Linked DNA regions of Arabidopsis thaliana. The protein of the gene in region 2 interacts with the protein of the main gene of each other region in a pairwise test. Each region holds a gene or a part of one and is shown on either strand. Other genes may lie near its edges. The genes, in order: WAVH1 and ACBP4.

Region 1 (14,880 bases), on a different chromosome or scaffold from region 2:
TGCTTTAAACGGAGTGGAATATAAATTATATTTGCTTATATAAAGATTTTAAATTAAAAAAAAAAACAAAGATTAAAAAGTATATAGAAAGTTGAAGCTTATATATCACAAAAGTACACAATTTACAGAGTTTATTATTACAAAAAAAATATTATTCTTTTTTGTAAACATTTTGTTTATAAAAACTAAATACCAATAATAGAGAAAAGTTATATTTCCTTTTTATTATCTCATCTACGTCTAAAAATTTGTAGACTTCTCATATTTTTTTAACCGCGTCATATTAATAACAAAACGATGATAAAGTTTTAGCAATACTGTATATCAAAATTTGTAGTAGGGCAGGACATTCAGGTATGCAGGTCGGGTTTGGGTAATACCCGGTCGGGTACGGGTATATCGGGTATATTATTCTAGGATTCAATAGAATAAATAGAAAATCTCGGTTCGGGTCCAATCAGGTTCGGGTCGGTTCGATTGTAAATCTTTTTAAAAATTTTTAAAATTTCTTGTAAATCTTTTAAAATCTTTTTAAAATCCCTTGTAGATATTTTAAAACTCTTTTAAATCCCTAGTAAATCTTTTAAAACTCTTTTAAAATCCTTTGTAAATCTATTTTCCGCTAAAAATATTTCACAAGGATTTTTAAAAGCATTTTTTTGGCTGAAAAAAAAAATTGTTATGGGAATTTTTTTGGCGGGAAAAAAATTTGGCGGAATTTTTTTTTTTTGCGGGAAAAATAAATTTGGCTAGAAAATTTCAGTTTCCAATTACATGTTCCTATTAGATGAGAGTAATTTGGTCATTCTGTTAAAGGGAAGGGGTATTTTTAAAAATGTACAACATAAAAGGTTATTGTTGCAAAAGGTGGTAAAAAATAGGGAAAAATGTCAATTAATCCCCCAACTTTCAAAAAATGGTCATTTTATACATCAACTTCGTATGTGGTCGTTTAAAACATGAACTAAACGTTGACTAACTTTTAAAACATGATTATTCGTTGACCATACCAAAATAGACATGCCGTTATCAGTCATTAACGGAACTTCTAACGTCCGTTATCATCCGTTAACGACTTTATTAGTCAAGTTTTAAATTGTGGTCATTTTAAACATCGACTTTATATGTGGCCATTTTAAACATGAACTAAGCGTTGACTACCATTTAAAACATGAGAAATTCGTTGACCAAGCCAAAATAAACATGTTGTCATCATTCATTAAAAAAACTTATAACATTCATTATCACTTGTTAACGAGTCTATTAGTATTCCTAAAACGACTTTGTTTTGAGAATAATCAAAAGAAAATCAGGATTGTTTTCTAAATGAAACCCTAGTTCCCCAAATCTATTTCTACAACCGCCCAAACAAGACGAACAATCTTATAATGAGTCTTCAATTTGCTTCCATGATTCCTTTTAAAATTTAAAACAAATATATAAACGAAAACACCTTTATTTGTTTCCAATTACTGGCACTGCGATTATCGCTTTATCAAACTATGTTCTTGGGTTCTGCTTAAAACTTTTTAATATGGAATTTCATATGGGAAAAATCTTTATGTTCTTTCGATTATTTTCAAACGACGTTGTTTTGGACAGATTAACAGTCATTAACGGGTTTCTAGGTTCTACTGATAAAGACATGTCTATTTTGGCCCTGTAAACGAATTTTTCATGTCTTAAATGGTAGTCAACGTTTAGTTCATGTTTTAAATGGCCACATAAGAAGTTGATGTTTAAAATGGCCACAATTTGAAACTTGACTAATAAAGTTAACGGATGATAACGGACGTTAGAAGTTCCGTTAATGACTGATAACGGCATGTCTATTTTGGCCTGATCAATGAAAGATCATGTTTTAAAAATTAGTCAACGTTTAGTTCATGTTTTAAACAGCCACATACGAAGTTGATGTATAAAATGGCCAATTTTTTGAAAGTTGGGGGATTAAATGACATTTTTACCGTAAAAAATAGTAGTTTTGCAGTCTTAGCATTTTTAAATCATTTGTGATTACTAAATAATATAATAAATATTCTATTATTTATCTTTTATATATGTTAAATAAAGCATAATATTTTTATATAATAAACTAAAAAATAATTTGGCAAAAAAATCCTGAAAAAATCATCTATTATTTTTTGTTGTTTAATACCTAATATTTTTTATTGGAATAAAAATACCTTAATTAAATATATTTAGTCTAAAAGTACCTCATATTTAAATTGTTGATAGACTCAAAGCTAAAAACAAGACAACAAAGCAAACAAATCATATGTCTCTTTTGGCATCAAGTGGAACATGAGTTGCAAGTTACGTGTCTTGTCTATCTTTGTCTCCAACCCGTGATGATAAACTGCAAAAGTTAACAACAAAGTCTTGTGACATATAAGGCCAAATATGACTTGTGACATAAGATAAGAGACAAAACAATATCATAAAAAGCATTAAAGCAATATCATACATAACATTAAGACAATATCATACATAAGCAAAGTGATTTGCAATAAAAACAGACAAAGCAAATTAAACATGTCATTGTTGTGACATTGAAACAAATCCTAGAAGTACTTAGAAAGAAATTAAACATTTGAAAGAGGTTCGGTACTTATGAAAACAACTCCTCAATTAGCTTCTTCTTAAGAACCAAGTCACACTCTGAAAGAGGTTCGGTTCTTGAAAGAAGACTTTCAAGCATTTGGTTTTTGCTTTGCTTATCCTTACGATCCCAATCTTTTTCCTTAAGATCCCACAAAGAAGTCAAGTGTTCAACTGAATTCACTTCTTCTCCTTTAACTGTTGGTGTCATCTTAGCTTTTGCTTTCGCAGCCTTCACACCCGGAGGCCGACGCATTACATCATCATCTTCAAGATCAATAGGCTGTGAACTTGCAGCTTGAGTACCAACTCGAACCTTCCTTCTTTTCGCAATTCCTTTCCCTTTAGGAGCATTAGATATTAACCACTTTTGGTCATGTCGCAGCAGCCTCCATGCATGATCTAGACTGAACTTCTTTTTCATATCATTTTTAAAGAGCTCATTTGCAAAGAGCATGACATCATTCTCGGTTTGCCCACTTGCTTTTTGGTTTGTGGTTGTGGCATAACAGCCCACAAACTTCATGACTAGCTCATTCATCTTCGCCCATCTTTGCTTACATTGAGCCGACGCTCTCTTTGGAACACCATCAAGGTCTGGACTTGCTGCAACATAAGAAGCAATCCTCTTCCAAAAAGCTGGAGCTTTTTGCTCATTTCCGACCACGGGGTCTTTGCTAGTGTTTAACCAGGCACTAATGAGTACTATATCCTCTTTAGCTGCCCATTTCTTTCTTGCAATGGCCACCCTAGAAGCATAACGTTTCTCATGACTTTCTTGACAACGTTGAGTTCCAAAAACGGGAATTTCTGAGGATCCAACCTCATATTGATTGGTCTCATTGTTGTGGCTTTCTTGTTGACTGTTGCAACAAGTCCATAAAACGGGAAGCTTGAGAAAATGGATTGTAAGAATCCATTTACAAGTTGCTTTGGATGTTTAGAGTAGAAAGAAGGGTAGCTATGTGTTTAAAGAAGAGAAAAGTTAACTGAGAAGCTATGTGTTTAAGGAATAGAATGGTTTAAGTTAGTAGCTTTGGATGTTTGGGTTATATATAAACTGCTTCGACATTAATAATTTCAGTTAAGGCAAAAAGATTTTTAAAAGCAAAAGTTATGGTTATTAGTCGTAATCAACTTCAAGCCATTATTATGGTTATTAGTTGAAATCAACTTCAAGCAAACATTTATCATTGTCTAAAGCTCACATTTATCACTATCAAAAGCTTTATCATTTGTCAAAAACCATTTATCACAGTGAAAAGCTATGTAACGTCTATCCACAAAAAAAATAACAATCAATGCTATATAACAATCAATCAAGTACATATTTACCTTCATTGAAGTGCATAGACGAATTCCTTTACAGTTTCTCCTTAACTCACAACCACTTGCTCATCCGCCATTGACACTCACCAAAAGCATAGAGAAAAAAACAACAATTAGCATTTACAGTTAACTTTACAATTTGATTCAATCACATAAACAGATATTAAACAACAAAGTTTACATTTACTAAACCCAATCAATCACATCTACATATACATTAAAAAGAAAATCAAACTATCGAACGATCTATGACCATATAAATCTATACAACATGTCTCCAAAACGATCTATGACCATACAAAACTATAGAAAATGCTTCAAGATATATCAAAAAACACCCTAATCTTGCTACAAACGAAGAACCCTAATTTTAAAAAAAGAACCCTAAATTTTCTTCAATTCAAAAACCCTAATTTTTTTGATTAAACCACCAAATACAACATCTAATCACGTAATAAAGACTAGAATTGATTCATACCTAAATTGGGGAAGGCGTCGGCGATAACTCTCCGAATCCAATTTGCTATTTTTCGATTTCAGCAAACTTCCGCCGATGTGAACACCGTTGAAAGCCTAAGATAACACAGCGAAATACAAACAATCACCGGCGTCAATTATTCTGGTTTTTCAAAGATTGAGCAATTTTTCTTTTGTCAATGTCGCGAAGAGAAAGAGAAGGAGAGAGAGAAAAGAATTTGTTCGGGCAAAACAAAGAAAATGAAATCAATCATTTTTATTTTTTTCTTTTGTTTAAAGAAGATAACCAATGAATGTATGCCACATGTTCGCCTCTCTCATTCCCTCATAAACTCTCTCCACAGAAACGCTTCTCTAGTTTTTCTTTCAGTTTGATTAAATTTTAATCAAAATAATCAACAGAGACTCTGCAAAATTTCAACAGAGCCCAGCGTTGGAGATGGCCTAACGTCCATTACAAAATCACTAAACAGACCTTTGGTCAAGTTGGTATAATCTTGTGATGCTAGTTTTGTTACCTACACAAAACGGGTTTAAAACATCAAACATCCCACGTCCCCTTCAAATCCGAAAAAGCTATATGCCAGTCTATAACTATAGAGCTTCGGTAAAATTGCATGATGTCTTGTGATGGGGTTACATATCAGAAGTCCACCCTGGTATTAACTACCATGGAAATAGACTAAACCAGAGGCGTAGCCACGTGACTTTTTTTTAGGTTAACATAATGATTGTTTGGAGAGAATTTCCCATGAAATTCGGCAGCTGCTACAAGAGTGGACGACGATTCCTCATATAAATTATCAAGCTGAAGCGACGAGAAAAAGCTCCACACACCACATGATTCTTCTTTAACGTCGCCTTTCTCAACTAAGGCGAATAAGAGGCGCGGCTTAGCCGATGACCTGGTCAAGAACAAGTTCTTGAAATATGGACTACCAAACATTGATGCCCATAGCTTCGACACACAATGAAACCTCGCTAATGACTTTAAAGGTAATCTCGACAATATCTCCATGATGAGATCATTTGATTTGGGAGTCGGAGATAATGAATCCTTGTTTGTTGATACGTTATAAACCTAGAAACCCCTAGCGAGAGCCGAGAGACCTAGCTTCTTCATATATACATTTCGTTAACTTGGAGAGGACACCTCAAACTGTCGCATTTAATTTTAATTAACTAGGCCCACGTAAAAATATTCTCGGCCCAAATAGTTACATTGTTGAAAAGAAACCGATCAAATCCAACGGCTGTGATTCATTCATCTTCAAGATCAGAGAGATTGATTATTTCAAAGAAACTGAAGAAGAAATCTGCAAATTCATCTTCTCTTCTTCCTCCGATTCCATCTTTCTCCGTTTCCGGCGATAATCTTCATCGCTTCTTCAGGTTCATGTTTTTCCAGATTCTTTGATGCCTTTTATGTATCTCTGACTCTCCACGGTTTCTTAATATGAATTCTTCTTCGCTTCATTTCTGATTCGCGATCGTCAGATTCTCTGGTTTGTTTGAAATTCGAATCCGTGTGTCTGATATTTCGATTCCTGGATCATTTGGTATGAATAATCAGAAAAAATGTTTGGTGTTGCATCTGATGCGTTGATTCTGCTACTATGCTATGAGAATTTGAATTGCAATGAATCGATTAGATTTAAGAACTCCTCTGAACAATGAGTTGATTAATGGAGATTATAGTGGTTATTGTGGATATGATTCTTTTGGTTATTGATACTTGGTTCCTTCTTTCATGTAGTTGATTATCTTTAGAATGGAGCTAAAGAATGTCAAAGATGCGTTTGATCGTGTTACCAAAAAGCAGAAACTATGCTATAGCAAAACGCATGAAGTGGTAGACAAAATGTCTCAAGAAATCGACAAGGCATTGAAAACGATACAGGAGGATAATCATGAATCTGTTGTTGCTGATCTGAAGAAAACTTTTGAGGAGATTGCTCCAATCAATCTACTAGAAGCGTCTCAGAAAGAAATAAATGGGGTTCTTACCAAATACCCGAAAGCTCTTGACAAAACTCTGAATCCAGATATATCGACGGCTTACAGAAACGTTAAGTTTGATACTCATACAGTTCATCAGATACTAGCTCAGTTTTTCTACAGGCAAGGCATGTACGACGTTGGTGACTGTTTCATTTCCGAGACTGGTGAGGTTAAGCCTGAATCTTCTGTTACTAAAGCTTTCATGGAAATGAATATGATACTTGAAGCCATGAAAGAACGGGATCTCGGACCAGCTTTGAAATGGGTAGCTTCAAACTCTGACAAGCTAAAGGAAGCAAAGTCAGATCTTGAGTTGAAACTTCACAGCCTTCACTTTTTGGAGATAGCTAAAGACAAAACCTCCGAAGAAGCTATCAACTACGCGAGAAAACACTTTGCTACGTATTCAGCAGATAGCTGCTGTTTCCCTGAGATACAGAAACTCATGTGCTCTCTCTTATGGATCAGAAACCTCAATAAATCCCCATACTCAGAGTTCCTCTCACCTGTATTGTGGACCAACGCTGCCAAGGAACTAACCCGACAATACTGCATCCTACTCGGTGAATCACCAGAGAGTCCTTTAAGTGTAACAGTTGCAGCAGGTTCACAAGTTTTACCGACGTTTTTGAAGTATTTGAACGTGCTGCCGGAGAAAAGAAAAGAGTGGCAAACAATGGAGCAACTTCTTGTACCTGTGGAACTCTCTGAAGAGTATCGCTTCTACTCGGTCTTTGTCTGCCCTGTCTCTAAAGAACACTCGAGCGAAGATAATCCGCCGATGAGATTGGCTTGCGGTCATGTCCTTTGCAAGCAGTCTATCAACAGAATGTCGAGGAATGGTTCAAGGTCGTTCAAGTGTCCTTATTGTCCAACAGATATTGATGCTTCGCAGTGTAAGCAGTTATATTTTTAGACTAGCTTTACAACTTCTTATGCAGCATTTCTAAAGAAAGTAGACAAATGTTTCTTATCTTTTCTTTTATGAACTTGAATTGGGTTCGTGTACAAAAACTATAGTTTGAAATAAAACCTTTTATACCCATATGGTCTTTGGTCTAGTGGTCTTGAATTTTGAATGACAGGAAGATCCGTTATCGCGCCAACTTTGATCACTTGCCAAGACAGAACTTACCGATTCATCATACGACCATCATTCGTCGTTCACTCACCAATGTTTCATTTTTTAAGTATTGATTGTCGAATATCTTTATCTATACGAAAATGGAAACGTTAAACTTTGGTGCTTCGAAAAGAAAACACTTTAAAATTTGGTATATCATTCACTTAATACAATACAACCCCAAGGATCAAACTCTTTATGTTTGGAGAGCTTTTTGAGATTCTTAATGGATAAAGTACATTATAAAAGAGTTATTAAATTAAAGATAAGTATTTAGGGTCATTTTGTCTTCTTGATCATTTCAAAACTCTCCTCTCTCCACTAACATAAATTTGTGAACTACTTTTTGGCTTTTGGTCTACATAAATTAATACGTGTCCATGTATATACTAAATCTTGAACTTGTTTAGATATGATATGAACTTTTAGATATAGTCGTGCGAACCATTATTGCATCTCTTTAGTGGAACGCACCATCGCTTTCCAAATTAAACGTACCAAAAACATTTGCTTTCAAAGTTGTTTTTGGCTTTTATTCTCTTTCTCTCTGTTTGACTAAAGTTACAAGAATTTATTCAAAACTTTTAAAAGTTGGTGGTATACGTTAGTCGGGCTAATAAAATGAAAGTATGTAACACTTAGGCCGATGCTTATATATAACACTTAGGCCGATGCTTATATATAAGTTTTGTATTTTTAACAAAAGTGATATCTTTTAGCAATTTATTTTCGAGTAGTTCAAGAAGCTGGTTGAGATAGACATGTGACTAATTGACTAATCAAAATTTCTAAGATAAACTTACATTTAGATAAATTTAACCGGTTTGGAATACACGAGACCATCCAACGACAGATCTATCTACAACAACTTTAAACTTTTTGTATCCATAATGTAAAAAATATATATGAATTATGCGTAAATCATATGATTCATATCTCGCATCTTGTCTTAAAAGTTCACAAAATCAACTACTAAGTCAAGGGGTTTCTACAACCATTAATTTATCTAAGAAGTTGATAAGTTTCTTTAGTTAATTTCGGATAAAACTATAGATAATGACCGATCAATCGAGATACCTACTGAATCTTGTGTAAACATTGATCTTTTGCGGCTAATTGCTAGACAATTGGGAAAATATGATGCATTTTGTGCGTAACGCAAGCGACTCCCAAAAGAGATGTGGCATTACTCATTAGCAATCATAGATTCATAGTACTATGAATTCCGGCGTTAAAATGATAAGAGAGGTGTAAAAAGCCTACGAGACAAACAAAAAGGAGACAGAATTCCGCCGTTAAAATGATATCCTAAACTCAATTATTAGCATTTGCAATCATATTTATAAGGCTTCTTTAGAATTGTTTATTGCTGATTTATTGTATTGCTTAGAAAATATTTTGTTGACCATCATTGGATACAACGAATTTAATCAGTGTGTAGCCGCGAAAAGGCTACATCCCTTGTTTTTGACTACATTTTAGTATTTATAATCTACACATCCATTACGAAGAAGTACACATAGAATATAGGCTCTATCTAAAAAGTTTCACTATAATAATTGTAAAGCACAAAAATATATATATAAAAAGTTCTCATAAGAGATTAATTAAGTAAAAGAAAAGATCATACCATGTTCAACACGACTAATGTATGTTATAAGCATTTCGAATGCGTATAAATTTTACAACAAAACAAATGGAAGAGCTCTAGTCATGTTTTCAGTCAAATATCACCGGCCAATTCATTTTACATTGATTTCTTTTTCTTTCTTTTTTGCTAAAATTCATTTTACATTGACATTTTACACGAGTTTCTCTAAGCGTGTAAGATTTTAGTATTGAGTGTATATGATAGTGGCTTAATATATAGTTTGTTCTTTATACAATTTTAAATATTAAGATTGATTTGGTAAAACCTACTACCTAATTCCCTAACCAAAATTGTATAATCAACTTTACGGTGAGAAATGAAATCGCATAAAAGCTGAATGATATAAAATAACTATCCAAACTTATCATTTGACCAAATATAACTCCATTTATGCACCATTTCTATTTGTTTGTATCAGATTATTATTACACAAGTTGTTACTCTAAATATGGAAATATATTTAAATACATAAAAAAGCTAAAATCTAGCGTTTTCGAAACCATGCAAGTCACTGACTCTGTTCATATGTTTCCTCACCATCGCCACTTTAGCCAACCTCTCCGCCGCTTTCCAAGCCGACGTCGGAGTAAGCGACTCCAAACTCTCTGATGCCGCCACGTGTCTTCCTTTCACACTATTAAGATCAGCTATCTCTGCGTCCAGTCCACGTATACACGCATCGCTCGAGCTCAAACCGTGCTGCACAAGCAATGCTCTAGCTGACGTCAGCAATCTATGAGCTCCGGAGTAATGGTTACGCTCTATTAGCCGCCGAGACTCCGCGACGGCTCGAGTGCTGACGTGGAGGTTTCTGAGCCGTGAGATGTTGGGATTTGATGATGATCGGACAGTTAGAGGAGTAGGTATTAAAAGCGCGCGATCTTCGGGGTTTCTTAATTCCTGAGTTGTTGGATCCACGTAACGAGATCTAACGGTCATGATTTTGTGAGATCTACTACCGGTTAAGGAATTGTTAACCGGTGATTTGATTTCAACCAGCAACGCTCTTTCTTCCTCCGCATACATATCACCTAACCGGATTGAACCGGTTCCAAGCCAAGCGGGTCGACCGGAAAGAGAGTAAACAGAAGTTATCTCTCCTTGACCCAACCCGGAAACTATCCCGAGCTGTAAACCGAGATCCTGAACCGACAAACTCAAATAACCGTTGATGGTCCTCGCAAACGCGTCTTCGGGAATCGCGTGGCTAAGCCATATGGTGTGTATAGGGATTCTCGAATGGGCTAATTGGGCCACTTGATGGGCTTGACGGTCCGTTAAAACGAACACGGCGGTGAAAGGGTTTTTCTGCCGGCGATCGTCTAACACCTTAACCGCTTTCTTCAACGCGTCGTTCACACTCATCCCTTCACCGGAGAAATCAATTCCGACGCCGGAGACAGAACCAGGAACGGTGATGATATCTACGATTCTTCGCGCCGATCTCCTCCCGTTCGCCGTCATCCTCCGTAACGGCGATAACCGTTTCGAGCTGGACGAAAACGCAATAATCGATAAACGATCCATCTCCCGGAGATTCGAAAGCACAATCCTCATCGTTTGTTTCAACATCTCCAATTTCCCACCGGAATTTCTCCCGCTTACGTCTAAAACAGCAACCAAATCCACCGGCACTCTACGCGCAAATCCACGCGCCGTCGGAAACGGTGGCGATTTCACCTTCATGACGACGGAGTAAGTCTCGTAGCCTTTACCCGACGCAACGATAGCCGATTCCGGAGAGAGCTTAACGTCCACGTTTCGATCCGTTAACAATTTCGCCGTTAAAGGTGACGGAGTATTAACGGAAAATCCTGTAAACTCCTCGCAGTCTTCGTTCTCATCTGATTCAAGTATTGTGTGAAATCCGGCGGGAGATATCGGAGATGAAATCAAAGCTTCGTCATCGTTGTAAACTCTCAACGACTTGTTTTTAATTTCCGGTTTGATTTGAGATTCCGGTTTAGCGTAATTTCGAATCTCAGGCAAAAGCGAGGATCCGCAAACCGGACAAGAAGCAAGACGGTTATGATTCGCGGCGGCGCGTGAGGTTACGCAAGGAAAATGAAACGTGTGAGAACACTCCGCCGTGAAAATCGCCGTACCTTGACCTGATTTCACACTCTGTAAACAGATTCCACATTTGTTACTGCTACTCTGCTTGAATCGGAGTTTGGATTTGAGGAGAGTGAAGCTCGCCGGAGAAATAGAAGAAGAAGAAGGTGTTAAAAGAGAGACAAGGCTTCTGTTTCTGGGAGTTGTTTCTCCGGTGGTGGTGGTTTTGCACTTAAGCTTTGGAGTTCCGGGAAGAGATGAAGTAGTGGAGACGGCGGTGGCTGTTGAAGTCCTGCAACGGAGGCTGTAAGTTCCGGTGCCGGAATCAGAACGAGGCGTAGAAGGAGTTGAGAAAAAGCCGAATCGAGAGGTTGATTTGTGGCGGAGACCAACGAGTCCGTCGTCGTCGACGTCGTTTTGGTTAGTTTCTTTGGGAATGGAAGTGCAAAAAGCTCTTCTCCAGCCGTTTAACATATTTGCTTCTTCTTCTTCTTCTTCAACCTCGTGACTCGTGTGTTGTTGTTGTTTGTTTGAGACTGAGATTTTGGTTTTTGGTTCTGTGAGAAAGAGATTTTAAGAAAATGAGAGAGTTGCAGAGAGAAGGTGGGAGAGGTTGAATTTAAAAAGGAGTCTTTTTTGTTCAATTATAGTGGAAGATTGGGGATATTGGGATTATCTATATGATTTTTTATTATTTTATTTTATTGAGAGAATTAAGAAATAGTACTAATAGTAATTGACTACCTAAAAAGCTGTAAATATTTTAGAAGTTACTCTATTTGTGTAATTGCTTTTCTACTCCATGGTTGATTATAAGAAAATGATTGATTTTTGGTATTAATCTTTTTCAACATAGAACTTATGAGCTACATCTATTATTGCCCCACTCATTTTAACCTTTTAAGTGATAAAGCTTGTTTACCACCTAGATTAAAAATATATATATATATATTATATAAAAAATTGAACAAGATAAACTTAAAGGCTTCAACCTAAATGCTATGATAGCAGACTGACTATATGTATCTGCTAAATAACTAAACTAATTATTTAAATTTGTAAAATTACTTTTAACTTTACAATTTTACTCTGAAGTTCATTCACAAACTAAAACATTTTGTAAATTTATTTTATAGATATCACCTACTTTTATATGAAATCAAAATATTTTATCAAGAAGAGATCCCTTGTTCTTTTATTATTTTATTTGATTACACGTTATTCAGTAAAAAAAACTTTGGACAAAAACGTTATTTAGTAAAATAACATGTATATGTATAAAAAAATATATATGTTTGTATAAATACATAACAACATTTTAGTTAAATCGTTCAAATAAATATTTTCACTTGCTTATGAATGTTTAATAGTATTTTGGCTATCTAAAAACTTACCAACAAGAAAATATCCAACTATAGGTGATGTCAACCTACGAAGAAGTCTCACATGTCTATTTACATAAGTGGAAGCACTCGTTCACTCGTATGAACAATAAGATGTATGATTGGTCAAGACAAACAAGAAGTAACGTTCTTTACAGATTCCTCAGACTTGATAAAAGTGGTGTCTTTTCCAACAAAGTGACCAATCTTTGCTACGTATTTAGAGGCGATTCATGAAGACAAGGATGTGTTTGATTTTTATATTTATTTTTATTTTTTTGAAGTTAAAATGTTAAAACAGATTATTTAGCACGAAATGTTCATATCCAACCGCATTTTATTACTTTTGTAAACAAGATTTTTAACATCGGTTTATTTAAAGTAATCTAATAAAAGGGTCCATTAAAAAAAAACTTGTTTAGCACCGAAATTTTTGTAATAATGTCTAGTTATTAATGTATGGGCTATACATATATGCTATTATGCCCTATCGATCCGTCTAGTCTCACGCTAAAATTTTTGACTGTCTAAATAGTTGTTATTGGAGAATCATTTGTTGTTTGACCGTTATTGTGTAACACACTATTGAAACTTTGACAGAATTTAATGTAGTAGATGAGCAAATATGATTGGGTTAAATTAATACAGTGCAGTGAATGTATAAACGCATAGATTATGGGATCGATCTATGGATGTGAGCCAATTTTAACTTGTTTATATATCGATCCATGTAAAACATTTAATGTTCGAATCAAGACTTGATCCGATAAGCCATCATCACCTGGTGAATAGAAAATAAACATGTTGCCACCACTAGCTAAGCTATAACAATAATACCAACTACATTTCTTCAGCTATTTATTGCTAAGCTATAATGCTGAAACTGAGGTAATGTTCGTATACTGATAATAACGGTGGATGCAGTAAAAATGTTATAGGTGATGAATGGTTTCTTTCTTTTATCTAGGCCAGTGCATAATACCCGAACCCGATCCAAAAAACCCGATCCGAAAAATCCGATCCAAACTCGAAACCAAACTTTTAAAATACCCGAACGGTTCTAAACTTTAAAATCCAAAAAATTCGAACATATCTCAAATATAAGTATATATTAGTTATATTTATACTTATATATAGAAAATATTAGGATTTTTTTGGATATTTTAGTTATTTTGTGTATTTTTAGATATATTTAAGCAAAGCTACTCGTATTGTTTTGGAAATTTTTGAAATTTTCAAATAATTAAATAAATTTACACACAAAATTTTGATATTTCAATATATTATTATTATTATTATAATAACATTTCTTTGTCAAAAGTAAACTTGCTCGAACATAAAAACGTATTTTTGTACAAACTACAAAGTAAACACTAAAGATAGGGTACACATTTGTTTTTTTGGTCGACAAAAGGGTACACATTTAAATAAATCGAAAAAGCATTTCTGAAAAATACATATCACCAAGGACATAAGTGTTACTATCAAATAAAAACAAAAGTCGACCTACGACTACAAGAGGATCAATGCTATAGAATATGGTACGAGTTAAAAAAATAAAGTGATCGGCAAAAAAACAAAAGAAAGATGATAATGAAGGCATCAATAAATGTATTGATAGTGAATGGCATGGGAGATAGGACGAAGATCCCCAGAAACCAATTTATTACAGAGACGCCAAAAGAAAACCATAGCTACTGTTTTAGTCTCTGTACTCTTGTGTTACTTTTATTAAATTGTTTGTAATAGGTCGGTCCATTTTTTAAAATTTATCTCTATCCCATCTCAACTAGTTATTGATACCTATCACCTTTTTTCGCCAAACTTTTTTTTTTGTTTGTTTGTCTGTTTTTGTTACAGCTTTTAACGTACATTTGCATGCATACCTACGTGTTTGGCTATTTTGTAGTATGTTATAGGACCAGACACATATTATTGGTGTAGTCTTAAGCTACTTTCATAGACTAATCACACTTTGACTACTATTATGCTAGTATGGTTTCTTGCGTTTTAAAAATACCAAACGTTTTATTGTCATATTTCATGCAAGCAAAGTATTTGTGGAGGTAGTAAATTATTGCATTGTTGTGCTCGACGCTTTAAATTTTGTGTGAATAATCATACTTAGGTGCAACAGTTAAAATGCAATTACTCAAGTAAAATATGAAAACTCTGTCTGTCTATTGAATATCGATGATGAGATTCATAATATATCTCTGAACTCTGAAGGTTGATCATTTGCCTTATGGCAGGCTTAGCAT
Region 2 (17,601 bases):
ACTGGTTGAGAAATTCAACCGACGGCTTCTTCTGGGTGTAGGATCGTCCTCTGTTCTTGCGATTGGTGCGAATTTCGGAGGAACCACGAGTTTTATACTCGGTTTATCGCCAGGGATAGGCCGGAATCTAAAACTCGACGTCATTTATCCGATTGGAGGATATAGCAGATGTATCGATACGGTTGAAGGATTCGGTTAGTAAGTCATCGAATTTCTCCGGTTTAAGATATTACCAATTGGAAGATAAATCAAATGATTGTCAATTTTGTAATCACAGAATTTATATATCCGGCTACGTGGGTTGGAGACCAGACGCTTTTGTATAGAGCGGCGGAGAAGTCAGAACGGGAGAATTCGCTAGACCTTCCTCCGGCAAGAAACAGTCGCCGGAAAAACGTTAATGAACCGGTTGTTGCATTTGGACCGCCCGGTTCGACCGGTGAGCTTAATGTCAGTGTTATCGTTTCCCCTGTCTCACCCAGTTTCTCGTAAGTAAAAACATCATTCTTTTTTTTTTTTTTTTTTTTTGAAAGAATGTAAAAATATATTCACCCAAAAAAACGATTGTTACAATGAATGCGACATGATTTAAAAGAATCTAAAAGAGTTAAGAACAATTAGAATGATTTCTAGCTATGGATTTGAAACCAAAACTGCAGCCCGCCTTGGAGTCGTGTATTCCCAGACTTTATAGCCGTGCTGAATCTGTTTCGAATATTCTTGTCGATGATCTTTGCAAGTTGCGTTACCGGGATAGCAAGCCCCCCATGTCGCCTACTATTACGCTCTCGCCATAAACTGTGGATCGTTGCTTGGAAAGTATAACGAAGAGTGAAGAGATGTAGATACGGACGGGATGTATCCAGCAGATGTGGAGTGATAAGGCTCCAACTCGAGATGCGTCGACCATGAAGAAGACCTTTTGTCAAAGAGCACCAGATTTGAGAGGAAAAGGGACACGAAAAAAAAAGGTGATCTCGTGTCTCCAATTCCTCATCACAGAACACACAACTATGCCAAGCTTCAGAATTCCATTTGCGGAGTTTATCACCCGTCGCAAGTCTGTTCTGAAAAACAAGCCAAGTGATGAACGAGAATTTCGGAGTAGCAGAAGAGAACCAGACTCCCCGATACCAATCGCAGCTTGGGTTTATGGTTCTTATTCGCTGCCAAGTAGTTGAAGAAGAGAAAGAGCACTTAAAGCTGTCCTCCTTTTGTTTCCAAAGTGAGCGATCACTCTCCGTGCCTCTGTCTTGTATAGCCAACGCTATGTAATTCTCAATCTGATTTAAAAGATCCACTCTATGTCTCTTTCTCCGATGAGTATTCATGACCTCAGCAACTGTAGCATGACTCGCAATACCCAGATCTATTATTCCCCGTGGCCCTAACAGTTGATGAAGTCTGCCAAGCGGACACCAATGATCATACCAAAAGGATGTGGAAGTTCCAGAACGTACTTCCATTCGATGGAGTTGACTAGCTTTGTCTCTCTGCTGAAGTATTTTTTTCCAAATCCAAGATCCCATACAAGAATTTCCCTTAACAGACCAAAACGATTCCTTACGTATCAAGTTTTTAGAGAGCCATTGAACCCACAAAGAATCCCGAGCCGACAGTATTCTCCATATAAGCTTCAAAAGACTAACCTCATTCGTTTCTTTTAAAGTCTTTAAACCCAGCCCTCCTTCTTTTTTTGGCTTACACACTTCCGACCAAGCTACTTTAGCTCTCTTAGCATTGAGTTCAGGACCAGACCACAAAAAAGCTGAAAACAACTTCTCTATCTCAACAAGACAAGCCTTCGGCAATCGAAAAACAGAGAACCAAAAGTTAATGATGCTAGAAAGAACAGACTTGATCAGTTGTAATCTACCCGCAAAAGACAAGAACCGAGTGGTCCAGGATGTAATGCGAGTTCGTATCTTCTCAACAAGAGGAAGATAATCCATCTGCGACATTCGCTTAGTAAGTAGAGGCAGGCCAAGATATTTAACCGGTAATGTACCTAACGCAAAAGGAAACTGTTGAAGAATAGCTTCCTTAGCTCGTGGAGAGATTCCTGCCATGAAGGCTGTTGATTTCTCCAAGCTTATCTTTAACCCTGACATAGCCGCGAACCTATCAAAAACTTCAAGAGTGCCCTTGATGGATTTAGTAGTTCCATCTGAGAACACCATTATATCATCGGCAAAACACAAGTGTGTGAGACTCATATTACGACACCGAGGATGATAACCAATCCGTTTTCCCTCAGCTGCCTTGTCAAGCATACAAGAGAGAACGTTCATACAGATGACAAAGAGGTATGGAGATAAAGAACAGCCCTGGCGAAGACCCCGTTCACTGCGGAAAAAACCCGAGAGCTCTCCATTCACCTGAACCGAAAAAGAAGCAGTACTTATGCAGAGTTCAATCCAATGGATAAAAATATCTGGTAAGCACATAGCTTTTAGAATATTTATCAGAAAAGGCCATTGTACAGAGTCAAAAGCTTTCGAGATATCAATCTTAAGAGCACTCCGGCTAGATATTGAATCCTTATGGTAATCCTTCACTAGTTCTGAAGCTAGCAACAGATTTTCCATCATCAATCGGTCTTTAATAAAAGCAGATTGATTTGGCGCAATAGAGGCAGGGAGGATTTCTTTGAGCCGATTAGCCATAAGCTTCGAGACGACCTTGTACAACACATTGCAGCAAGAAATTGGGCGATAATCTTTCATACCACTAACCTCCTGCTTCTTAGGAATTAAAGCTAGAATCGTGGTGTTTACACCTTTTGGCAGGAAACCCTTCAGAAAGAAAGATTGTATAGCGATTACAAAGTCTTTACCCAAAACCGGCCAAGCATGTATGAAGAATTCCACTGTATAACCATCGGGACCTGGAGATTTATGCTGCGGCATAGAGAATAGAACCTTTCTTATTTCCTCTTCAGTGACATCTCTCAATAATCTTTCGTGATCCAAAATTGAACTACGATAAGATAAGAGACTCTGGATTTCGCTGACACTAGAGCCCTCAAAATCCTCTGGCTTAGCTTGTAAGAACCTTTTAAAAAACTGCACGGCTTCCTCTTTTATATCCTCTTGGCTCGTACGCACAATGCCATCAGAACATAAAATTTCTCGGATTGAATTCATGGCGATCCTGGCCTTAACACTATTGTGAAAATACTTATTATTTAGGTCTCCTACATCCAACCAATGCAACTTAGATTTTTGCTGCAAATAACCTTCTTCCAAGACTGCTAGAGAATTCCATTGAGTGTAAGCTTGATTTTCTTCTGCAATTGCTTCAGAAGAAGCTGTTTCCAAAGCGAGTTTCTGCTTCTCACATAAGGATGTATAGGCTTGATCCACACGAACAGACAGATTATGAAGCTTATTTCGACCTAGAGACTTGAGAATAGGCTTTAGACTCTTTAGCTTTTTCGAAAATCGAAACATAGCAGAGGTTGAATGATAAAGCACGGGAGTACCAGCCCAAAAGTCTTGGACAGTTTGCAAAAACTCAGGCATTGTGGTGAGGACATTATTAAACTTGAAAGGACCTTTTGGTATCGGAGTTGCAGAGGCCAACGTTACTCTACACCGCAAATGATCCGAGCACCCTCCTGCTTCAAAAGTGCCATAAGCCGCAGGAAATTTACGATTCCATTCTTCATTAACAAGAACTCTGTCCAACTTTTTATTTATTATCCCCTCTTCTCTCTTGTTTGACCAAGTAAACACCGGACCATGATAGCTCATATCAGCTAGAGAGCAGTCTCTAACGACTTCTTGGAAATCTCGCATACCCTGCGGAATAAAAGGTGAAGTAACAAAATTTGAATGCTCCTCCCCCTCCAGAATTTCATTAAAATCACCAAGAATCATCCAACTTTTGGTACGGAACATTGGCATATTGTAATGATTTCTCAAGTCTTCCCAAAGTTCCCGCCTCTCATCCACATAGTTTGAAGCATAGATAAAAGAAACCAAAAATTCCTCTGCATTCTCTTCAGTCAAAACAGAGCAAGTAATCATTTGTCCACTTTTATAAACCGGAGTGACACGAACCGAACTCTTCCAAATAACCCAAATTCGTCCCAAACGATGGTGTTCATAGTTAGTCATAGAAGACCACCCAGGAAATACCTTAGAAATGATCTTGCTAGCACTAGTTTCATCCACCCTCGTTTCTAATAAACCCCCAAAAGTTAAAGACTCCTTTCTCACCCAATCACGAACAACGGAATGTTTATTTGATTTGTTAAAACCGCGCACATTCCAGAAGAACCCCGACATTTAATGATGTTTTTTGGAGTTTCTTCTGCTCGAATTGCTGGAGACATTGTCTCTAGCTTTTTGAGTAAAAGACTCCGAAAGGACTTTGTGTGAACTCTTGGAGGAGCGAGGAAGATTTACTCTCACCGCTCCTGCTTTCTCTTTATCCGAAGTGGAATTCTTTTCGATCGCTTGAGTAGAGACAACGTCATCAATAGAGTTCGTTCGCTCCGTCTCAATGACTTCCTCTGAGGAGATTGTGGGGAACTCATCTTTATCCCCATTCTCCTCCTGATCACTCAGGACAGAGTACCGAGAAGAGGATAAAATTGTTGCTTGGCCAAAAGTTAATGGTTTCCCATTTGACTTTTCTGTACTTTTGCTTCCTTTACCTGGGGAGACTATGGACCAACCATCTCCTTCCGACTGAGATTCTGGTGGTACCACCTTCTCTGCTACCACTTGTTGTTCAAAAACCTCCTGAGAAATCAAAATCGAGTTCTGAATCCCATCCTCTTTATTCCCACTATTAGCTGACTCATGGTCAGCAACTCTCACTGTGGTAGCAGAAGCAGAAGGATCCGCTAAAACTTCACCTTCTTCTAGCTCACTTTCTATCACCAGCGCTGGAGGCTTGAGCTTACTCACACAAACATCCACTAGGTGACCCCACTTACTACAACAAGTGCATTTGGGAGGCAACCAGGGGTAAATAAACTCCACGATAACATCTTTTTCCTCCTCAATTTTGAACCTGTGACACTTTGGAACGTCTTGCGAAAGATTTACTTCAACAAAAACTTTAGCTTCATCAAACTTTGTGCATAATTCTGTTTCAGGATGTAACCGTATTGGATTTCCTACTGAACTTGTAATAAAACTCAAACCATCCCAGGAGAACATGGAATGAGGAACATTCTTCACTGTGACCCACAACGGCATTGTTTTAATCTCTGGCTGGGCTTCTTCTTTAATCGGAGACCACTTGGCAACAATCATTGGTAAACCAGCAATGTTCCACATCCCTCTTCTGACTATTCTCGAACGCGTGGCGGAGTCACGGATTCGAAACTTTACTGAAGTAGAGTCTATCTCATAGACGTCAATCTTAATTGCTTTGTCCCCAAGAGTCCAGATCTTATTGACTATGACATGGATCTTAGCGACATGCGGAGCTTGTGATGGGAACCGTCCCACCAGAAAATCATCCCAGAGAGGGACAGATTCAGTGATAACTTCTTTCGGAACTGCAATGGTTGGGACACCGTCTTGCACAGAGACTTCATATTCATCTTTTTTCAGAGAAGGCCGTTTAGTAACTACTGCTGCATAGGACTTTTGCTGGACAGATCCAGATGGAGAACCAACTGTTCCTGCCTCAGAAGAGACTGGTAAAACCTGGTCGGACATGAGAAACCGACGGCAAGCCGCCGCTGAAACCCTAGCTTGCTGAAAAAGAATGAAAACCCTAGTCGCCAAGAAAATCGCCCTAGAGCTGACGTGTCATTAAAAAAAAAAAACATCATTCTTATAGTAGAAACATTTGATTGTTCTGTGGTAACTGGTAACGACTAAGTGATATGGTTTACTAGATCTTGCAAACAAATCTAATTGATCATGAGAAAAAATTGTAAGACTAGATCGATTATTTTAGTGGTCTAACAACTAGTTTCAAAGTTGTAATTTTCAAGATTGTTTATTACATTTAGTACATGTTTGAAGTGAAACAATATATCTCAATGTAAGTACATGATTCTCTTTACTACTTTGAATCTATCACAGAAGTTAGTGCAGACACCCGATTCGCTATGATTGTTAAGATCATAAAGTGACCTAGATCGATGAGCATCAATGTTTTTTTTTTTCTTTTGCCAATAAGCATCAATGTTTTCTTGACGAGCAATTGTCATTTTATTTCAAGAAGCGGAATCTGTTTTATGAAAGTGTTTATTGTTTACGATATAGAATCGAAGCGTTTGGAGGGCCAAAAGAAGTAGGAGAGGCAATAGTAAGAACAGTGACAGGATCTGGTCAACGAGCAGATTTGAAAGGAACTTTGCTAGAATCAAGTATCAGACAAGATTCAGAGAGAAACTTGAAGTACTACGAGTTGGAGTTTAAAGTCGAATCACCTCTTTTCCGGCGGCATAATGTAGCCGTTTGTTGCGCTCACAGTGGCCGGCTTTATACACTGAACGCTCAAGCGCCAGAGTCAGCTTGGTCAGAGGTGAAATCGGAAATTTACACTACTGCGAAATCGTTCAATATAATTTCTTGAATGTAAAGGATCGGAAAACAAATTGTAAAAACCCAAAAAGAAACAAGATACTACAAAGCAAAGCTTATTTTTTCTTCATATTGATAGGGTCTCTTTGTTTTTCTTAATTAATTCACACTATTGAGTTGATTACGATGATTAAGGTCAAAAATACGAAGTGACAATAAAAAGAGAAAAGTTTCGAGCATAATCATGTCTTCTTGATCGTGCCGCTCGCTATATAAACACTGCACCAAGCAATTACTATAATTTTTGATCAATTAAATATTAAATTTTGAGAATATGTTTCTATATTAATGAAAATAATTTAAAGTAATCATAAGTTTGTATCTTTGAACAAACGAAACTAGAAAACGCCTATCTCTGCTCATTGGCTTCTCCATCTCCGATCAAATCCGCGGTCGTAGTCAGAGAGAGAGACAAATGGCTATGCCTAGGGCAACCTCTGGTCCCGCTTACCCGGAGAGGTTCTACGCTGCTGCATCTTATGTCGGTCTCGACGGATCTGATTCGTCGGCGAAAAACGTCATCTCGAAATTCCCCGATGATACTGCACTACTTCTCTATGCGCTATACCAGCAGGTCAGCAACTTCCATTTCTGATCTCTTCCATTGTTGATCTCACGATTGTGGATTTTGCTTTTGAATTTCACGAGATCTGGTCGTTTGGGTGTTGATTTCTTTGTTTTAGTCACCGATTCATATTCCTCTCGCCGAATTCTTATCGGATTTTAGAAATGACGCACTTTACTTGTCTGATTAGCTGTGCTTGATCGTTATTTTCGATCCTGGTTAGTATATTCGAAATGCTCAGTAAAATGTTACCCGAGATCTCATCACGATTTGATTGGAAACATGATTGAAACAGTTTTATTTTATTAGATCTCAGGGAGCGTTGGTCCGTCAGTCGTAGTTTACTTGGATCTACATTGATTCTATAACTTGATTAGTATAGTCGTAGATGAATTTCTTACGAGGGGGTGAAACTGGCTGTTCCTTAACATAGAGAGAAACGTTCTCTTGTACTAATTATAATGTCGAGTCTACTAGTTTTTATCCCTGGGATAGATAGGCTCAGTGCTGATGATCTCTTGGATTTAACATTGAAACAGGCTACTGTAGGACCATGCAACACTCCGAAACCTAGTGCCTGGAGACCAGTGGAGCAAAGCAAATGGAAAAGGTTAGATTGGGTGCTGTGTTTTGCCCATACTTATCTACGATTAACATTTATGCATTTATCACTGGTTCTTTTATTTCTATTCTTGCGTTTGTGAATCATACTTGTAGGAATATGCTTCATGGTAGATATTAATAGGAGATGTCTTAGATTTCATCAATTACTAGAGCGTAAGAATCCAAATGCATTAGGGAAACGGGAAAGGAGTACTTTAGTGTAAGCTACTAGAGGAAAATAGAAATGCAGGATTTGAATGTGCATCCCTGGGGAAAAAAACTAAGTGCTTACCTATGTTTTGGACCTTTTGGTCTACATTACTGAGGTTGTTAATGCTTACGATCCTTTTTAAAGGAAAATAAGACTTTAAAGTTGTCCTCGTTCCTTTCCTGAAAGATACACATGCTACTGTTCTGAAGCATTTCATATTTACTTAGTTGGCAGGGGCTCGGAACCATGCCCTCCATTGAGGCAATGCGTCTCTTTGTGAAAATTCTGGAGGTAACCGACAAAGAGGTCTATTTTTTTTTTTTTTTTAAAGACTTAACTGGAGCATAACCTTGCTTTCTTCTCTATTGCTCAATTTTTATCAGGAAGATGATCCTGGTTGGTATTCGAGGGCATCTAATGATATTCCAGATCCTGTTGTAGATGTCCAAATTAATGTAAGTTTTGGTATCCCATGGGATTCGATGTCCAAACCATGGGAACTATTACACATATCTTTTGCTTGATTGAAGAAAATTATTTGAGTTTTTTAGTGCATTCATCTTTGTAGCAGAGAGCAAAAGATGAGCCTGTTGTTGAGAATGGGAGCACATTTAGTGAGACAAAAACAATTTCTACGGAGAATGGACGTTTGGCTGAAACCCAAGATAAAGATGTAGTCTCAGAAGACTCAAATACTGTTTCTGTATATAACCAGTGGACTGCACCCCAAACATCAGGTCAGCGTCCAAAAGCTCGTTACGAGGTAATTTATTTTTTCTCTCTCTTTTGAAGAATAAGTAAAAGGTTATGTCATTCATGTATCTTCTGTATTTTTCTAAGTCTTGTTTATTATATTTTTTTCAGCATGGCGCAGCAGTTATTCAAGATAAGATGTATATATATGGTGGAAATCACAATGGCCGTTACCTTGGTGATCTTCATGTAAGCAACCTCTATGGTTTATAAGCATAAGCTCCTAATGTAATTGAGATATTCAGCTCCTAGCTTGACAATACCAGTCCCGGTGACAGTTCCTAAGCAAAGCTTCTGTGGAATGTATACAGGTTCTAGATTTAAAAAGTTGGACTTGGTCAAGAGTTGAAACCAAGGTTGCAACAGAATCTCAGGAAACATCAACTCCGACATTGTTAGCTCCTTGTGCTGGTCATTCTTTGGTAAGTTTATTAACTTTTTCGTTTTGTTTTTGTTATTATCGTTTTGCTTTCCTGCCCAGAAATATTCAGGAGAGGGGTTTCAGCTAAAGCAAAGTATTCTCTTCATGAAAGTCACTTGCTATATTAGTTTGTAATAAAGAAGACTCTAGCTATACATTATTCACTTACCTTCTTTGCTTGTTTTGTAGATAGCATGGGACAACAAGCTGCTGTCTATCGGTGGTCACACAAAGGATCCCTCAGAATCTATGCAAGGTTAGCGTTTATATACCTTTGAAGACGATAATTTGCACATATTTATAAGATTTTTCTGGAATCTCAATGATTACATATCACTTTCTACTGTTTCCTGTCACAGTGAAGGTCTTTGATCCCCATACCATTACATGGTCAATGTTAAAGACATATGGAAAACCACCGGTATATCTTCACTTCTCTCATGTTGTCTCATTTGCTTTCCTGTCACCTTTGTATGAAAATATTACAGTTTTATACAAAAAAAAATTTGGCCGTCAAAAGACAAAAAAATAAAAGTTGTTTTCTTTCCTTACCCTCCCATAATATCTTCAGGGTTAAGGTGCATCTAAATCCAGAATTTCTCCTTGCTAATTTGGAAGTCAAATATGCATTTTGGTTACTTAAATTTAGACTTTCTTATAATTATCTCTTGCTTTTAGGTTTCACGTGGAGGCCAGTCAGTTACAATGGTGGGTAAAACCTTGGTGATATTTGGCGGGCAAGATGCAAAGAGATCACTTCTGAACGATTTGCATATACTTGACCTAGACACGATGACCTGGGATGAGATAGATGCCGTGTAAGATTTTATGATGTTTCTGCATTTTGTTCTCTTTCGAAGAAGTCAAACCCATTTAAGATTAGATATATAACCAGAATATGAATATGTTAGAAATCGACCTCCTATCTCCTTTAGTATCTTAGTCGTTATTGAAAGATTAGCAATTCAGGATTTAAATTGGTGTCAAATTGCAGGGGTGTATCTCCATCTCCGAGGTCTGATCATGCTGCTGCAGTGCATGCAGAACGGTTCCTTCTTATCTTTGGTGGCGGCTCACATGCAACCTGTTTCGATGACCTGCATGTCCTTGATTTGCAAACTGTAAGTTAAGCTAAGAGTCTATTCTTTCAGCTGCTCTCAAACATGCTTTGTCAGCCTCTGATATAATTGTCACATATAGATGGAGTGGTCAAGACCAGCACAGCAAGGTGATGCACCAACTCCAAGAGCTGGACATGCTGGCGTGACAATTGGGGAGAACTGGTTTATTGTTGGTGGCGGTGATAACAAGAGTGGTATGTTAATGCACTTTTCCCTTGGAAATTTTCTCTTCCCAACCGTTCTGTTTATCACCCCCTAGAACAAAAGATATTTGCTTGGGTTTTTTTTTTTGTGTGTGTGGGGTGACTAATTTTGTGACAAATTACTGCAGGGGCATCGGAGAGTGTTGTACTAAACATGTCAACTCTTGCATGGTCGGTCGTTGCTTCAGTTCAAGGACGTGTACCTCTTGCTAGCGAGGTACTTAAATAAACAGACTTTATCCATATTAATTCCCAGATAGCTATACAAATAAACACGGTAGAAGCCTTTTCAAGACTTCGAAAAAAGTCAAGTCATGCTTATTTCATTTCCATCGTCCTTTCCTTTGCTACTGACAGGGATTAAGTTTAGTGGTGAGTTCATACAATGGTGAAGATGTACTAGTCGCTTTTGGTGGATACAATGGACGTTACAATAACGAAGTAGGGACTGTGATCTGAACCCATAAGTTCATTTCTCTTAATTTTTCATTTAGTTCTGCTTCTAATTCTTATCTGGCATTAGATTAATCTTCTTAAACCAAGCCACAAATCAACATTGCAAACAAAGACTCTGGAAGCGCCTTTGCCAGGTAGTCTTTCTGCTGTTAATAATGCCACAACCAGAGACATTGAGTCTGAGGTTGAGGTGAGCCAAGAAGGCAGGGTACGGGAAATTGTCATGGACAATGTTAACCCTGGATCAAAGGTATCTTCTTGTCAAATTTCCCTCCTTAATATATTTTGCATAGCACCACCTTTTGATTTGTTTGAGAGAATTGAAGCATCTTATGCATATATGCTGTGGTAGTGATTGTGTCGACACAGAATATAGTTACTCCAGTCCGGATCATCACCTTCTCGCACTCTTATTATGTTTTGGGTGATTAATCCCCAGGTTGAAGGAAACAGCGAACGCATTATTGCGACTATTAAATCTGAGAAGGAAGAGCTGGAGGCATCACTGAACAAAGAGAGGATGCAGACTCTCCAACTAAGGCAAGAGTTAGGAGAAGCAGAATTACGAAACACAGATTTGTACAAGGTACTAATATTATCACCTTCTTAAAACAGAAGCCGACATGAATAAATTGGTGAACCAATCGTTCATAAAGACTGGTTGCAGCAGTCTTCCAATTGCATTCACATTTAACATCTGAAATCTCGGAATTTTTCCTCGAATATGATATACCTAACTTTGTACTGACATTTTGTAGGAACTTCAATCTGTTCGTGGCCAACTTGCAGCCGAACAATCAAGGTGTTTCAAACTGGAGGTACTAAACCGTAGCCACATCTCTTTTGTACCATAACCTACAGAATTTGGAATCTCGTGAAACCCGTGATTTAATGACTACATATACTCATATTCCAGGATGAATAGGAATCTTGATTAGAACATTCATCCATTGTAACCACTGGATCTATCACATATCTTCTCTGTCATTTATTGATAAGCTTCATCACGTCATAAGAACAAAAACAAAGCAAATCTAATTGGGTCACTTTCTCCGAATCTGCAGGTTGATGTTGCAGAGCTAAGACAAAAGCTTCAAACATTGGAAACACTACAGAAGGAACTCGAACTCCTGCAACGTCAAAAGGCTGCCTCAGAACAAGCTGCAATGAACGCTAAACGACAGGGCTCGGGTGGCGTATGGGGCTGGCTCGCTGGAAGCCCTCAGGAAAAAGATGATGATTCGCCTTGATCATTTTTGGTCCGGTAATGCCATTTTCCTCCGGACGATATTTGCTTTCAGTAAAGAAATATATATAGTTTTTTTTGTCTGAGTCTCTCGCATTGTTTCTTCTTCCAATAAGATATTTTTTTAGCGAGCTTTGATTACTACCGATGTTTAGCTTTGTTCTCTGTTATACAAGTGATTCACCAGAATATTCGTTAACTTTTTTGAAATATTTGTTTTGGGAGTGTCTGACAAAATTATGAAAACTAAATCAGTTTACGATCAGCAATCATAATTTTCTTATATTTACGAGTCTCTTACTCTCTTCACTCTTTAGTCTTCGTTTGCATTAAAAATTAAATTAAATTTACCTCACTTCGTAAGTGGACAAAAAATCACGTTTTAGGCAGCAAAATAAAATAAAATAAAAAGATCACGTTTTTTTGTCCCATGACGTGGCAACCTATTACTGGATGGGAAGTTCGACCGTTCACCATCACCATTTATGACGCTGAGAAGTTACCAAAATGTCCTTCTCACCAAGTGATGCTTTTGTCATCTTCTCCAGCTTTACTCTCATGAAATTTCTTAAATTTTCTCTTCCAGCAAACAATCTCAGGATTTAAACAAAGTTACGCATCTTCTGGCTTCGAGTTGTTTCTAGGGTTTCATTGTTATGAAAGCTCTTTAACACCGAGGGTTCAAGTGTGGTTAGAGAGAAATGAATTCGGCTGAGGTGAATGTGAATCCTAGGGTTTTTGGTGATAGTTTCGTTACTTTTTCTGGCAATGGCTCCGGGAAATTTGAAATGATTGATCAGGCCGAAGCTTTCCTTATGGAGCTTGATTCGGTTGCTGCAGACACTGGAAGTGATGGAAATGGAAATGTCGATTTAGGTTCTCGAGTGTCTAACAGTGAAACGGAACCTAGATTTTGTGAAATGAAAAGAGAGATTAGAGACTCTGATCACCGATTTTATGAGCTCTGCAACGAATCTGGTGAGAAGAAAATGGAGAAAAGGCGAGTTCCGGACTACAAATCTTTCTTATCCGAATTTGACGATTATGTTGCGAGGGAGAAAATGGGTTCTAGAAATTCGAAGGCATTGAGCTATGGTTTTGAAGTGGGAGATATGGTTTGGGGAAAGGTAAAGTCACATCCATGGTGGCCAGGTCAAATATTCAATGAAGCTTTTGCGTCTCCCTCTGTTCGTCGTGTGAAGAAGATGGGTTACGTTCTGGTTGCTTTCTTTGGGGATAATAGTTATGGATGGTTCGATCCTGCTGAGCTTATCCCTTTTGAACCTCATGTGAAGGAGAAATCACAGCAAACTAGTTCGGATCACTTTGCAAAAGCTGTGGAAGAAGCTATGAATGAAGTAGGTAGAAGGTCAGCTCTTGGCTTGACTTGTAAATGTCGGAATCAGTATAACTTTAGGCCTATTAATGCTCAAGGTTACTTTGCTGTAGACGTGCCTGATTACGAGGTCCAAGCTATTTACTCTTCTAAGCAGATTCAGAAAGCTAGGGATAGTTTTTCATCTGTGCAAACTCTAGCTTTTGTGAAGCGGTGTGCATTAGCACCTCAAGAGTGTGATACAGACAGCTTAAAGTCTTTCCAGAAGAAAGTAGCGGTTTGTGCATTCCGTAGAGCAGTGTTTGAGGAGTTTGATGAAACATATGAACAAGCTTTCAGGGCAAGATCTGTATACTGTTTAATGAAGACACATGAACCACTTAATAGAGCACCCCTTCGAGGTAGATTCACCTTTCAGCGATCCTGGCATTGTTTTGAATACATTTGTAATATTTCTGCTTCCAAAATCGAATTTTATGGAGTTTTATTAGATCTTTCTCCTATGTATCACAGAGATACGGTACTCTATAAATTGGTGATCTCGTTGAGTTTGTTTTTCTGTTTCTCGAGCCATATAGGCTACATTCGAGAGTTTTGTGGTTTGGGTATCCTTCGACATCAAAAATGCTTTTCTTAAGGTTGTTATTGTAGGATTTATAGCTATGAAGTTGTATTCTTAGAATGCCTCAAAAGGATATGGCATATCTTTGATCTTAAATTCTGGATTGTGAAATCTCATTGTGTTGGGTGGTTGGAATAGATTTCATATTTCCTCATGCATTGCTTGTGTTTACAGTCCCCTTGAGTGGCTCATTGGTCAGTGCAGAAACTCTGGGCAACCCAAAGAGCTACACAAAAGCTATGAATGTAAAGGATTCTACTAAACAAGACAAATATCTTCCAAAAAGAAGAGAAGAAGCTGGTGATATGACAGTTCAATTTGGCCAGGTCCAAGAATCTTCTCAGTTTCAGGGCATCAACGGATCTTCAGCTTGGGATCGTCTACTCCAGAGAAGGACTCCATGTCTCCAAACTCCCAGGAAACATGAGCAGACTGGGCTTGTCAGCATGAACTTCACCTCTTCAAGTGGTAATATTCCTGGAAAGAAATCCTCTGTTTCAAAGCTCTCTCGTGATGATGACAAGGGTTTAGCTCAAGAGTCAGATGTGAGAATGGGAGAAAAAGCAACTCTATTTCCAGATCAGGAGAAATTTGAACCAATGAAAAGCCTTAAACAAGATGAGACTGGAACAAATTCTAGATCTAACAAAAGCTCTCTCAAGCTTTTTAGTGGTGGGAAATTTTCTGCAGGAGTTGGGATCAAGAAAGGCAATGTCGTGAAACGGTCTTCTGGCGAAATGAAATCTGAGAATTGTCCTCCAGAACCAAAGAAAAAGAAGAAAGAGTATGTGTCAGAGCTGAACCGTGACACTCCAGATAAGAGGAAAGCGTTATCTTCTGGAGAAGCTTGGGCCAAGAAATCGTCACAAGTAGATTCAGCAAAGAGACGCTCCAATATGTTGATAGTGAAACTTGATGGTCTGCAGCTGTTGAGTAATTTGCTAGCTCTCTCGCTTGACCCTCTCTTTGGATCCTCAGATAGAAGTTCTTTTAGAGTTATAAGGCAGTTCTTTTTTCATTTCCGATCACATGTTTACCAGAAAAGCTTGGCCACATCTCCTTCCGCAACAAAACTGTCAAAATCTGCAAAGACTTTGTGCAGAGCTAATGAACAATCAAAGGCTGGGAGAAACCGCATATCGTCTGACAGTCAACAAGATGTCCCATCAACTAAGAAGCTAAAGAAAACCATTCAGTTCAAACCACTGGCTTCTGACAAGAAAACAAACCAAGATGCAACAAAGAGATCAAGTCTTGCACCTTTAAATCCAGTAAGAGACCAATGTCGAGTTCCCATCAATGCCAAACCAGCTATAGTTCAACAAGAAAAGAAGACGGGTCCATCTGCAATGGTAGTTGAGCCAACAATGCTGGTCATGATGTTTCCTCCTGGTGAATCTCTCCCTTCCATTGATCTGCTTAAGGCGAGGTTTGGACGCTTTGGACAGTTGGATCAATCAGCCATCAGAGTTTCCTGGAAATCCTCGATCTGCCGTGTTGGCTTCCTGTATAAACTCGATGCGCAGACTGCCTTAAGATATGTATCAGGAAGCAAATCTCTCTTTGGCAATGTGAATGTGACATACTTTCTCCGTGACATGAAAGCTTCTTCTGCATCCGGAGATCATGAACTGAAGAAAGCCAAGAGGCCCAAGACAGACAAACCCATCACTAAACCATTGAACCAGCTACTAGAGCAAGCACCGCCGGTTCACCAACCAAACATCCAGCTCAAGTCTTGTTTGAAAAAACCAGGCAATAACCGTAATGGTAACCACAGAACAGTACGAGTGAAATTCATGTTGGGTGAGAAAGAAACAGAGTCACCATTTTCGGTTTCGATTCTTCCTCTCTCTTCACAAGACTCAGAACCAAAGCCTGTAAATAACCAAGTGGACCACGTCGAGCCACCACTAGACCCGTCACAGCTTAAGGTGGACATCTCCCTGCAGATGATGGAGCTGTTAACAAGGTGTAACGATGCTGTGGCCAACGTCACGGGTTTGTTGGGTTACGTCCCTTATCATTCCTTATGAAAGATTACATTAAAGAAAAACAAAAGTCTGTCCTTAGGTATTATTAACTAGTATTATCTGGAGAAGGGTATCAAAATTCAAAGTGAATAGAACATCTCTCTTTCTCTAAATATCCACATTTGACATATAAACCGATTTTAAACCAGAATGTTTTTCTAACTTTACTGGTTTCCAGTTTGCCAAAAAAAAAAAAACTTTATTGGTTTCCTATTTTAAAGCCAATATCAAACTGCAAAAAAAAAAAAAAAAAAACAATTAACCAAATTTGCATGAAAACTGAAACCAAATGCGTTTTAATTCTGCGCGTTTGATATTAGATCTAACATTTTAGAGCATAACAATATCCTACTATATTATTTGGAAAGTACATAACCTTACTTTTTGTAATTAATTACATGCCATTAGAAAAATTTAATCAAAAACAAAATCTTTTAATGACATCATTAAGATTATCAAAATTATTTAACGACAATATTCATCTCTTAATTATAGGGCTTATTGGATTTAAAGACGGGTCATCAAAAATTTCCTAAACTAAAGCAAAATATACTGAATATTCAAATATCTATCTGTTACCAAATTATAAACAAATAAGTTCGTAAAACGATTTAATATTTTATATACGAAATCAATTAAATCTTAATCACATAAAAATTAGCACAAAAAAAAATATGGTACATTTGGGTCTATAGTATTTTTGCAAGACTTTTTTGGTGGATTTTGGTAAAAGTGCATTCGGCCCCTATTAAATAAATATGGTACACTCCTAAGTTATTAGCTAAAATGTTTAGATTATAATTCAAAGTCATATCATAAATAAAATTAATATTAATAAAATAAATGACTTTTTGGCAAGACGAATTTTTGAATCAACATTAATAAAAAGTAAAATATAATTAATCCACTGTTTCAATACGGGTTAAATCTTTAATTTATTATTTTTAATAACAATTAATATATATAAATACTTAATAACAATCATAAATTGTAAAATATAAATATTTTATAAAAATAAAATTTGCAAGTTTTAATATATATTACTTTTAAAAAATAAATCATCCCGCGGTATACCGCGGGTTAAAATCTAGTTTAGTTTATTTGAAATCAGATATTATCGGATCTAGCAAATATATTTTCTCTTGTCCAATTGATATTTTTCCAACAAGATAGACAATTTTCGATGTTGTAGAGGATTTTTTAGTCATGATCATACTAATAATCGTAAAAGTTTTTTAAGGAAAATCTTTTTTTAATACAAATTTCTTATAGTTTCGATTCATCGTGATTGTACTATATATCAGTTCTTTTTCGGTTTTGTTTTAGTTTAGTTTTTATCAATATTATTTCAGTTACGGGCGGTGTTTGAAACTGATCAGCCTCTCTACAAAATATTTCAGATTGACATCTAAACTACTGATTTATCCTTTATTATATTTTAAGACTGCTTGATAAAAAATAATAATAATAAAAA

The links.
Region 1: the proteins of ACBP4 (region 2) and WAVH1 interact in a two-hybrid assay, tested with the Arabidopsis thaliana proteins (one large-scale study listed by BioGRID).

The regions. Positions count from the first base shown.
Region 1 is NC_003071.7:9,642,264-9,657,143, reverse strand, and holds WAVH1 (Zinc finger (C3HC4-type RING finger) family protein), read right to left. Parts: upstream 11,875-14,880; 5' UTR 11,712-11,874; coding exon 9,660-11,711; 3' UTR 9,489-9,659; downstream 1-9,488. Other genes in the region: AT2G22690 (zinc ion binding protein), read left to right, coding at 6,179-7,324. UniProt on the Arabidopsis thaliana protein: E3 ubiquitin-protein ligase involved in the regulation of root growth. Acts as a positive regulator of root gravitropism. Possesses E3 protein ligase activity in vitro.
Region 2 is NC_003074.8:1,554,908-1,572,508, forward strand, and holds ACBP4 (acyl-CoA binding protein 4), read left to right. Parts: upstream 1-6,763; 5' UTR 6,764-6,972; coding exon 6,973-7,131; intron 7,132-7,661; coding exon 7,662-7,732; intron 7,733-8,163; coding exon 8,164-8,227; intron 8,228-8,319; coding exon 8,320-8,391; intron 8,392-8,504; coding exon 8,505-8,699; intron 8,700-8,800; coding exon 8,801-8,878; intron 8,879-9,000; coding exon 9,001-9,111; intron 9,112-9,299; coding exon 9,300-9,366; intron 9,367-9,469; coding exon 9,470-9,531; intron 9,532-9,788; coding exon 9,789-9,928; intron 9,929-10,104; coding exon 10,105-10,231; intron 10,232-10,310; coding exon 10,311-10,425; intron 10,426-10,562; coding exon 10,563-10,651; intron 10,652-10,791; coding exon 10,792-10,875; intron 10,876-10,957; coding exon 10,958-11,140; intron 11,141-11,329; coding exon 11,330-11,476; intron 11,477-11,648; coding exon 11,649-11,708; intron 11,709-11,954; coding exon 11,955-12,140; 3' UTR 12,141-12,429; downstream 12,430-17,601. Other genes in the region: AT3G05410 (Photosystem II reaction center PsbP family protein), read left to right, coding at 1-194, 278-488, 6,237-6,549; AT3G05425 (uncharacterized protein), read left to right, coding at 12,567-12,698; AT3G05430 (Tudor/PWWP/MBT superfamily protein), read left to right, coding at 12,838-13,873, 14,269-16,130. UniProt on the Arabidopsis thaliana protein: Binds medium- and long-chain acyl-CoA esters with very high affinity. Can interact in vitro with oleoyl-CoA, barely with palmitoyl-CoA, but not with arachidonyl-CoA. May function as an intracellular carrier of acyl-CoA esters.